2 linked regions of the Caenorhabditis elegans genome follow. The protein of the gene in region 1 purifies or fractionates together with the protein of each later gene. This does not show direct contact. Each region holds a gene or a part of one and is shown on either strand. Other genes may lie near its edges.

Region 1 (5,231 bases):
TGCGTTGCGTGCGCGTTGCGGTTTTCGAATTATGGAAGTGCGCTCTACCGAAATTCGCATTGCTCGACATTTTCCTGTTTCTACAGTTATTTACATTTCCCTTTTCAAATGTTTTCAGTAAATCCAAAAGTTTAGTTTTTTGATTATTGTTCTTCTAATTTTTTCTAAAATTTCAAAATTAAAATTCTTTTAGTAACACTACAAATTAATTTATATTGCAAAGTTCCAGTATTAACTTTTCCTAAGCCCAGTATTAACTTTTCAAATCAATATCGAATCTTAATTCTATCCTAATTTCTCTTCTCAAAGTTATTTATTGACTGATTTTTAAACTTTAATCCTATTTTGGAGTTATTGATTCTGCGTTGCGGTCGCGTCGCGGTCACGCCACCCGTTCCTCACTTTTGTAAATTTTCTGAAGGTATCCCAAACGAGAAATCGTGCACAGCGGCTGCGTCGCGGTTTTTCATTTATTCAGTCTCGTTTCGTGTGTGGCTGGTTATTTACGCGGGCTGCCGCCGCCCACTTTCTCTCTTCCCTGCAGTGGCCTAAAATTGTATTGACCGCCGCGAAGTGTCCGCAATTGTGCGCCGTGGTGAACATTAACACACACGGGACCGGAAAAATGTGTAGTGTGTTTTTGAATATTATTTTGTTTTCTAGAGAAAATAAATATAGTTTAGAGTACAGTAAAATTATCGCTGCAAGACCACACTATAGTTGCAGAGTTCTTGACTGAGCGCTTCTTTAAGTTTTCTTGCTTTTATTTTATTTTTCCTGCTCATTGGGTTCAAATGTGGGCTTGCTCGAATTTCCACTTTAGCTGTTTTCTAATTTCGGAGCTGTATACTGTTCAAATCTATAGAATTTAACAATGTACTTTTTTCAAATGAATAAATCTGAAAAATGTGGCACCTGTAGCGATCACTATGACTGTGATCGTGGCGAGACCCGCTCAGAAAAACAACGTGTGCCTTTAAACTGACGAGTGAAATTTGTTGCGAAATTACGATAATAAAACTGGTTGGTGTGTTTGCACAGTTTTCGAAAGTTCTGCCTAATTTTTGGGGTCTGTACTTACGCGACAGAACATTTTATTATTTTCAGTGTACAGTATCCATTTACAGATACCCTTCTTTATTTTGAATCATCTGACCGTTTTAGACCCCAGTCCTTTTTGAATTTGTTTCCGTGGATTACTGTAGTTGCACAGCTAAATTTTTAAATATTTCAAACTGTCGTCAAATATAGCGCCGTAATGTACGCAAACACTTTGGGCAAAACCCATTCACTTTTCTTTTTTCTCCAATCGATTCGTCCTTGCTAGCCCCGTTGCAGTAGACACTGCAGCAGGGCAAAGAAATAGGTCTCGTTTCTCTGCGCCCTCTCCGCTGCTCATAGTCTTCCTACCATCGTTTGTCCGTCTGACCAATAAATATGAGAGACGCAGAGTGGCATATACGCTCTGCGGTACTTTCTATATGACACAGCCTTCAAATTCTCAATTCCAATGCGCGCCAAAAGATCGGTAAAAATTTTTGTCGCAGTTTCAAAATTTTTGTCGATTCCGTAACACGTTTCCGGATTTTGCTTTTTTAAATGAGAATATTATTTTTTCGGGGGTTTTAAAATATATTGAGTTTGAAGTATGACAGGATGTGCGCTGATTCTGCGTGTAGTCGTGTCGAGATCAGTAATTAGTGGGAAAGGGCTCACGAAAGTTCAGAGTTCGGTTTTTTGAAATCATTAGACCTCCAATGAAATAAACTTATCTAATAAAAAACCTAAACATTTTAAAGAGTTCTTATAAGTGTGTTCAATGGGTCGGACACGCCCACATAACCGCGCCCCGTATAAAATTTGTATCATAGTAGTGAGGTTAGCCAACGAATTGCAGTATATTTCACGCGCAAATTTGAAACAATTAAGTTACTGGTATTCACTATACATCGTAAAAAACCGAACAAACGTTTAAAAATACGCAAGTTAGGCGTAAATTAATTTCGAGAACATATGATAGATTCTTGAATAATTATCTTTGATTCAAACTGGAAGTTCATGTAGATTGATATTTTAGTTTTTTTTTGAGATAAAGCTTATCTCCAGTCATTCTTTTCGTTCAGTTCTCTCATTTTTTTCTGTTGCCTTTTTCAAAAAAAATTTCAGCTCTCCAAATAACAACTATGGATGAGTTTGAGCTGTTTCAACAGCTCAACCAAACAGCCCCACTCGTTAAAACGGAGGAGCCAGAAGTTCCAGATGAGGTGAGAATCAGTAATCAAGTTGTTTAAATTACCCCAGAGAAAGTTTCAGCAAGCGAATAACAATCAAAGCGCTCCACTGCGTACAGGATTATCTGATCTCAGTCATGAGATAGCAGCTGCCAAACAGAGAGAAGAAGAGGAGGCACAACGGCTTGCTGATTTTATGCAAAAGGATATGAAAGAGCCTGCTGTCAAGAGGAAGAGAGGATCAGAAGAATATAAAAAGTAGGTTAAGTTTAAGTTATTCAAGGAAACTTTCAAAAATGCACTTAGAAAGCATTCACAGTCAAACATTTGTTAAAATTGCTAAATTTGTGCGAATTTATTTAAATTTGTGCCACTAGAGCGCACTTTCCTCATTCGCAATTCACATTTTTGAGGCCCCACGAAAAGGGGAGCAGAACGAAAAGGGGATCTGCAAAAAGGGGATCTGCGAAAAGGGGAGATACGAAAAGGGGAGATACGAAAAGGGGAGCAACGAAAAGGGGAGCTGGCACAGTGCCAAACGCACAAAACGCTTTTTTATTCTCATTCAACGCACGACTTTGTTATAACCACACTCCGTTATTACGCATCGCGCGTTGTTTAGCGTAAAATACACAAATAATGCGTGCGTTGAATGAGAATAAAAAAAGCGTTTTGTGCGTTTGGCACAGTGCCAGCTCCCCTTTTCGTATCTCCCCTTTTCGCAGATCCCCTTTTTGCAGATCCCCTTTTCGTTCTGCTCCCCTTTTCGTGGGGCCTCACATTTTTCTTGCATCAGGTAATTTTTTAAATTCAATTTAGACTGAGTTTCACCGAGTTTTCATTTAACTGAACGAAATCTAAATACCTGGTTAAATTTTTATTTTTTCATTACCATAAATCAAAAAGGAATTATATTTACACTTACATTGAATATTTCAGAGATCCTCTTGAATCGAAAGCTCCGTTATCCACATTTGGACACTCTTCCCGACCCCGTAGATCAGTAAACTACGCGAGTATTGAACGAGGTGACGAAGCTCAAGCTCAGTCACTGGTTACCGATTTTGGAAGCCGAGGGAACCGGAAAAAGCCGAAAAGAACACGAGATGAGCTGGACGAAAATTATATGGAAGAAAATGAGGGTAATTCTGGCCGAAAGAAGAAACCTAATGCAAAAGGCGCATCCCGTCAATTTCAAGTTCCGGGTTTACCAACCTATGCTAGTCAATATTCAAGACCTCCAAAACAAGAAGATGTGTTTAAAACGATTGTCCCATTAGCAGAAGATGCGCGAGCAGAAGGTGAACGAGTAATTGGATTCCGACTAGATTCACAACCTGCTGTACGGAGGGCTTCTGGAGGATTTCGACGGTTTTGTGCATGGCTCAGTGATAACCAGATTTTTTCGATAATGTTAGTTTCTAAAGCAACGTTCAGATTCTCAATTTAAAATTCAGGCAAACTGTCGATAAACTTTGTATCGTTGGGGCAAATAATGAAGATCATGACGAAATCCTATTGAAAAGTATTCGTCATGTATACAATGCAATGCCTCCAACGTTTCGTCGTGATTGGGAGTATGCTGCAAGGAAGGATGTGTTCGATTCAAGACTTTTTGTTCAAAATATGCCGATGCCGCTTTCCGAAATCTCGGTCACGGACCCGCGTCATCCGGTAAAATTTACGGTTGTTGATATTTATCTAAATCAAAAGTTTTCCAGCCAAGTCCGATTGCGCGCGGGACAACTGTTCGCCCAAATTGCTGTGAAAATCAGCCATTGTTCTTAAATATGTGTGAAACTATTGAACACTACCTAGGACATCATGACGTGGTTCACCTTTTCGGATGTGATATCTGTTACAGAGTTTATCCGTCTCGATATGAATTAACTAAACACGATTGCAAAGAGTTTGCGGAGTACCTGCGTCAATTAACTTTCAAACAGCAAACTTTACATCTTGAAGCCGCGTACATGTACCTCTGCTGTTCTCAGTGCGGATTGTGGCTGTCGGTAAAACCATCAGGCGAAGGAAAGAAAGGATGGACGTATTTTGCAACTGCATTGGTGAGTCATGAGTGATTATACATTTTTTTCTCTGATTACAATTATTTTTACAGATGAACCATTCTTGTCAACCGTTGGTTCCGGTCGTTGCTTACTTCCCAAAACCGTTGAAAGATGAAGGGAAAGGAATACGAATTCAATTTCAAGTGATGTCTGAACTAAACATTGGACTTCCGCTGAGTTGTTCTGAATGTAACATTGAAGAATTTCATTCTGTTGTTGAAATCGAAGAGCATTTCAAAGAAAAACACGAGGCTAATCATACCTGTATAAAATGCGGAAAAACATTTGGAACCGAGTTTATGTTGAAGTGAGTTTTCATTAGAAAAAAATAGTTCATGAAGTTTCAACCACTATTCAAGTTAATCTTATGAAAATTATTGATAAGATGATTATAGAACTGTGGAATATAAACGCGAAGCGAATTATAAAAGCAGAGTGTTACTTTCCAAAAATGTTTTTTTAATGAAATTTTTGGTCTTAGACACTCAGACAACAAATACAATTTAAAGATATTTATTTTTAATTGCTTCGAAACTTTTTTCTTTATTTCTTCAAATTTTAGACATCACGCGCAATCACATACAACTCAAACCGCACAGTTCGCCAACTATTTACAAATGTCGGCTACTTACCAACCACCACCGAGTTCTGGACGTTTGCCATATGTCGGTTTTGGATCGAGTATTCCTGCGATCGGAGGACTCACTAGCGGAGAAGTACAAGCTCTTGAAGCATCAGAAAACAAAAAAAGTGAATTTGTAGAGGTAGAGTGCAGTGAAGCATTTCAAGTTCTAAAATATTCAAATTTCAGCCAGATGAGTACACTATCCGCAAAAAACTACTTCGGTGGAAGCATGCAAAAACTAAGAAGGAAAATCGTAATATTACTGATAGTAACGAGAAGGAATTTTCATACGAACCGGGAGAGTCC
Region 2 (5,062 bases), on another chromosome or scaffold:
TGTAGCTGGTGAGGTTTGCGTCACTGGAGAAACTAGGACAATTTCGGGTTGTACTTCAGATTCCTCAACTTTCTGAGATTCTTCCGGTTCGGCTGCCTCATCGTAAACAACATTCAACCCATTCGACACTTTTTTCGGACGCTCCTGTGTAATGGTCATTGTCGGATCAGGATCACAGAGCACGGAAAAGTCAGTAACTATCTGCGTAGTAGCTAAAGATCTTTCTGGAACGAAGACAGAATCATCGCCAAGGACCATTGTCTTTTCGCTAGCAAGATGTACAGTGTCGGAAAACATAGCATGTGCCTCCAAACACTTATTTTCCGCCATCAAATCCAATCCAGCTCCACTCTTTGATGTTCTTGCAGAAGCAGTTGAATAGTTGGAAGATATGCTTGTGGAACGGTCTGGAGGGTTACCATCTTTTCTGCCGGCAGTCATAATCTTGAGTCTTTCATCATCATCTGCATCATCGGAATCACTAACATCTTTCTCCGAAGCAGACTTTGTATCCGACGAAAGTGTCACTGTCGCTGGAGGATTCTCAATTTTGCTCCGAAGTGCAGGTCTGTGAGCATCCTTCGTTGCAACCAGCGGCGAATAAATCCGGCTTCGCTTTTCCTCCTCATCATCAACCGTTTTCTCACTGACTGGTGAAAGATGACGTCTTCTAGGATTTAGATTGGCGTTGAATCGGTTTTCAACTTCTTCGCGGGCTTGTCTGTCGGTATCAATGACTTGATGTTTCACGAAAACGACACCAGAGTCTTTTCGTTTTCGGTAATCGTCATCAACATCTTCTCCGAAAGTGTCCTTCCATTTGGCAAAACGAAACTCCTCAATCGATATTCCATGATAGTTTGGCCTGTCGATACACGCCTGGCGAAGATCCGTTTTGGCTGTAAGTTTCCAATGAGAATAATAACTTTTTTTCAAACTTACTTTTTGGTCCAAATGCAGCTTTTCCCGAGTTATTTATAGGCACATTGTGTTGCAAAAAGCAAACCGAAGAGCGACGCTTTTTCTTAGAACCCGCATTGAATCTGAAAAGATCCATAGTCTCATCCGGTCGTGTGAACATATCTCCAGATTCTCCATTGAAGTATTCATCGACCAAATCGCGAAATCCCGATTCAATTGCTGTCATTTCTATTCTTTCGGAAAGACGATCTCGTGCCAACTTCAGGACATCTTTGAATTCCTCCAGCATTTGATCTTTTCCACATTCTTCTGCCCATTGCAGATAGAACTTCAGCGAACCAGTGAAATGATCCTTTTTGAAAAGTTGTTCATAAATGCCTCTTCCCTTCAGGTTTGTACTAGATCGACCCATAACTTTGTAGAGACGGAGCATCGCTTCGTTTTCACGAATTTGATCAAACTTTTGCTCCCGCAAAATTCTCCTAACGCAGTCGTATAATTCCGCCTTCATTTCCTCCGCGGTCATCATTTGAGACAACGTTTCGATTTGCCTGAAAGTGGTGACTATTTAAAATACAAGATATACGGAAACTTACGTTGCGAACGTCTCAAGACCACATGTCGACGGATTGGTGTCGAGTGGAGCGAATGCCACTCTAATGTGGGACATAACTTTCTGAAATAATCTGAATAACAAGTTTTCAAAGTAGAAAGGACGCGAATAAAAAAATCATCGGTTCACGAAAATTACGGAGTTCATTGGAGACGTGAAATCCCTCTTTCTCCTCTAAATTTTAGGACCTTCGAAAACAAGAAATGGATATAAACGCGCGCGTCTTTTTTGAAAAGCGAGTCTTCGCGGGCCTGCTCGATAGAGCGCGTTTTTCGCTGTAGTTCAGTGACGTCACTCTCATGGCTACGTTCTTTTGAATCTGGAGAATTGCGCACTACTGAAAATTGGGCGGTGCTTTATTGCTATAACTGAAAATTGATTTTAAAGCTATTTGAAATTATAAAAAAACAATTTTTTAAAAAGTGTTTGTATGCAATTGGAATTTAATTTGAAATGTTACACTTTTAATAACACAAAAAGCCCGCCCATTTTTTCGTAGTCCGTTCGTCACTAGTTTCGAAATCGACGGATCTGCATTGAGTCTCTCATTTCTTTTTTATTATTTTTCAAACATTTTCTCCATTTTCCTGTTTTGTTTCTTTTTTTTTTAAAGCAAAATGTTTCGAAATAATTGAAGTTAGCGTGGCCCAGTAGTCTAATTTGTCACCAGATAGTTAAGAGTGTTTTTGTTCGTCCGAAAAGTTAGTTCCCGAACATCAAAATGCTAAAATTAGTCATTTTGTGCTTCGCGTTGTTCTACAATACAGTCAGTTCGACAAGATTTCTGTTTGGCGTCGAAGTTAAGTGTGATTTTGATGAAGTGTTCCAATTAACAGTGTCGCATTGGGAAGACGATGGCAATACTTTTTGGGATCGCGATGAAGACATCACTGGACGTATGACTATGTTTGCTCGAAAGAAAATATTTTTCTATCAGGACGGCCATCATGGATTTGAATTTGGAAAGCTCGAGCCTTATGGGTGGTTTCTGCACAATTGCACGAAAAATGGAAATTTTCGCGAGTATAGGCACGGGTTGAGTAGCACCAGTGGATCCAATGGGTTGGAGTATATTGAGTACACTGTGAATTTGACGAACGCCTGAGAAATATCAAATCAAATCGAACTAACTTTCAATTTCAATAAACATTCTCTCTAATTACGTTTTAAACCAGTCTTAATTTCAGATGTCTGAATTTCTGAAAATTGTCAGAGCTAACAAAAAATCGGACAGAAAACTCGATAAGACCTACTTGTGGGAATCCTATTTACATCAGTTCGAGAAAGGAAAAACTTCTTTCATTCCAGTTGAAGCATTCAATCGTAACCTTACAGTTAATTTTAACGAATGCGTGAAGGAAGGAGTTATCGTGAGTTCATATTGTTCGTAAATCGGTTTTAAAATACAATTTTTGTAGTTCGAAACAGTGGTCCATGATTATGACAAGAACTGCGATTCGATTCAAGTCAGATGGTTTGCACGAATTGAAAAAGTTTGCGGATACAGAGTTCTGGCTCAGTTTATCGGAGCTGACACGAAATTTTGGCTCAATATTTTATCGGACGATATGTTTGGTTTGGCAAAGTAAGTTGGACGCTCAGCTCTTTCTACTATTCTAAATAAATAATGGTTCTGTTACATAAAATTCTAGAGAACAATCGTATTAAAACTTCGAAACATTTGTATAATAGTAAAATTTGAACATTTCAGCGCCGCAATGAGTGATCCCAATATGGATAAAATTGTATATGCTCCGCCGCTTGCAATCAACGAAGAATACCAAAATGATATGGTAAATTATGTAAATGTAAGTTTGTTTTTTTCCGAATTTATGTTAATATCATCTCACAACTTCAGAATTGCATTGATGGCGAAATCGTCGGCCAAACTTCGCTGTCTCCAAAATTCGATGAAGGGAAGGCTCTCCTAAGCAAGCATCGTTTCAAAGTTGGACAACGTCTTGAACTATTAAATTATTCCAATTCTACTGAAATACGCGTAGCGCGAATTCAAGAAATATGTGGACGACGAATGAATGTATCTATCACAAAGAAAGACTTTCCCGAATCGCTTCCAGATGCAGATGACGACAGACAAGTCTTTAGCTCTGGATCTCAATATTGGATAGACGAGGGAAGCTTCTTCATATTTCCTGTTGGATTTGCAGCAGTCAATGGATATCAACTAAATGCGAAAAAGGAATATATTGAGCACACAAATAAAATTGCTCAAGCAATAAAAAATGGAGAAAATCCAAGATATGACTCAGACGACGTCACATTTGATCAATTAGCAAAAGATCCAATTGATCCCATGATTTGGAGAAAAGTTAAGGTTGGACAAAAGTTTGAGCTCATCGACCCCTTGGCTCAGCAATTCAATAACCTCCACGTCGCTTCGATTCTCAAATTTTGCAAAACTGAAGGATATCTTATTGTGGGAATGGATGGTCCAGATGCACTTGAAGACAGTTTTCCTATTCATATCAATAATACATTTATGTTCCCAGTTGGTTATGCGGAAAAGTATAATTTGGAACTTGTTCCGCCAGATGAGTTCAAAGGAACATTCAGATGGGATGAATACTTGGAGAAAGAATCTGCAGAAACCCTACCGCTTGACTTGTTCAAGCCAATGCCTTCCCAAGAGAGATTAGACAAATTTAAGGTAATTCTGATTTCCAAACGGGTTGTTTTATATCGTTTGAGATTGTTTCACTATTAATAGTTATTCATAATTGTTTCTTGTTTTAAGGTAGGACTACGCCTTGAAGCTGCTGACATGTGTGAAAATCAGTTTATTTGTCCAGCTACAGTGAAATCAGTTCATGGAAGACTGATAAATGTCAATTTCGACGGCTGGGATGAAGAATTTGATGAACTGTATGATGTGGAGTGAGTTTATCATGACCGAACGACATTTTTTCAATGAAAATTCTATCATTTCAGCTCCCATGATATTCTACCGATAGGATGGTGTGAAGCGCACAGTTATGTTCTACAACCTCCGAAAAAGTACAACTATTGATAAAAGCTACATTAACATAATTTCATTCGTATGCAGGATCTCTTATATACACTTTCCCGTTTTGGATTGGTATTTCCCTTATTTTATTTACTGTGCTATCATTGGTGACTCTTTTTGCACCTATCGAACATGAATCTTCAACATTATTTTTCCGTTTATGGTTTCTTTTGTATCTTTTCTGCATGGTTATCGCCATTTTCTTATCTATTTAGTATTAGTGGTATCACTTTAAACATTCTACCAGTTTTATGTTGAATGTTCTGAAAATATTAAGCGTTTTGGTTTCAGTTTATTGTATCATGGCCTCCGAAGACAAGTTCGAGTCGGTTCTATCAACTCGTTACTGTAAGAATAGTCCACTTGTTTCGATCCTCTCGGAGACTAATAAAGCGACTCTTTGGAGACAACTATGGATTTGGCTCGCTGAAGCTGAAAAAGAGCTCGGTCTTAAACAAGTTACTCAGGATGCAATTGATGAGATGAAATCCAATAGAGATGTA

What was found.
Region 2: the proteins of lin-13 (region 1) and lin-61 purify together in Caenorhabditis elegans (affinity purification with western blotting, with the first as the bait; one study listed by BioGRID). This does not show direct contact.

Annotation. Positions count from the first base shown.
Region 1 is NC_003281.10:7,706,425-7,711,655, reverse strand, and holds the start of lin-13 (Zinc finger protein lin-13), read left to right. Parts: upstream 1-2,164; 5' UTR 2,165-2,183; coding exon 2,184-2,264; intron 2,265-2,307; coding exon 2,308-2,489; intron 2,490-3,170; coding exon 3,171-3,644; intron 3,645-3,688; coding exon 3,689-3,905; intron 3,906-3,952; coding exon 3,953-4,297; intron 4,298-4,350; coding exon 4,351-4,607; intron 4,608-4,644; exon of another isoform or gene 4,645-4,794; intron 4,795-4,862; coding exon 4,863-5,064; intron 5,065-5,111; coding exon 5,112-5,231. UniProt on the Caenorhabditis elegans protein: Involved in repression of vulval fate, possibly by a tumor suppressor protein Rb-mediated mechanism. May act in a common pathway with retinoblastoma-like protein homolog lin-35 and hpl-2 to influence the ER stress response in the intestine.
Region 2 is NC_003279.8:7,248,476-7,253,537, reverse strand, and holds lin-61 (Protein lin-61), read left to right. Parts: upstream 1-2,255; coding exon 2,256-2,618; intron 2,619-2,721; coding exon 2,722-2,904; intron 2,905-2,952; coding exon 2,953-3,119; intron 3,120-3,245; coding exon 3,246-3,342; intron 3,343-3,392; coding exon 3,393-4,202; intron 4,203-4,289; coding exon 4,290-4,429; intron 4,430-4,483; coding exon 4,484-4,562; downstream 4,563-5,062. Other genes in the region: Mitotic checkpoint serine/threonine-protein kinase bub-1, read right to left, coding at 1-899, 943-1,472, 1,518-1,591; adsl-1 (Adenylosuccinate lyase), read left to right, coding at 4,862-5,062. UniProt on the Caenorhabditis elegans protein: Synthetic multivulva class B (synMuvB) protein required to repress the induction of vulval development by Ras signaling. Unlike other synMuv proteins it does not associate with the multiprotein DRM complex and the NuRD-like complex.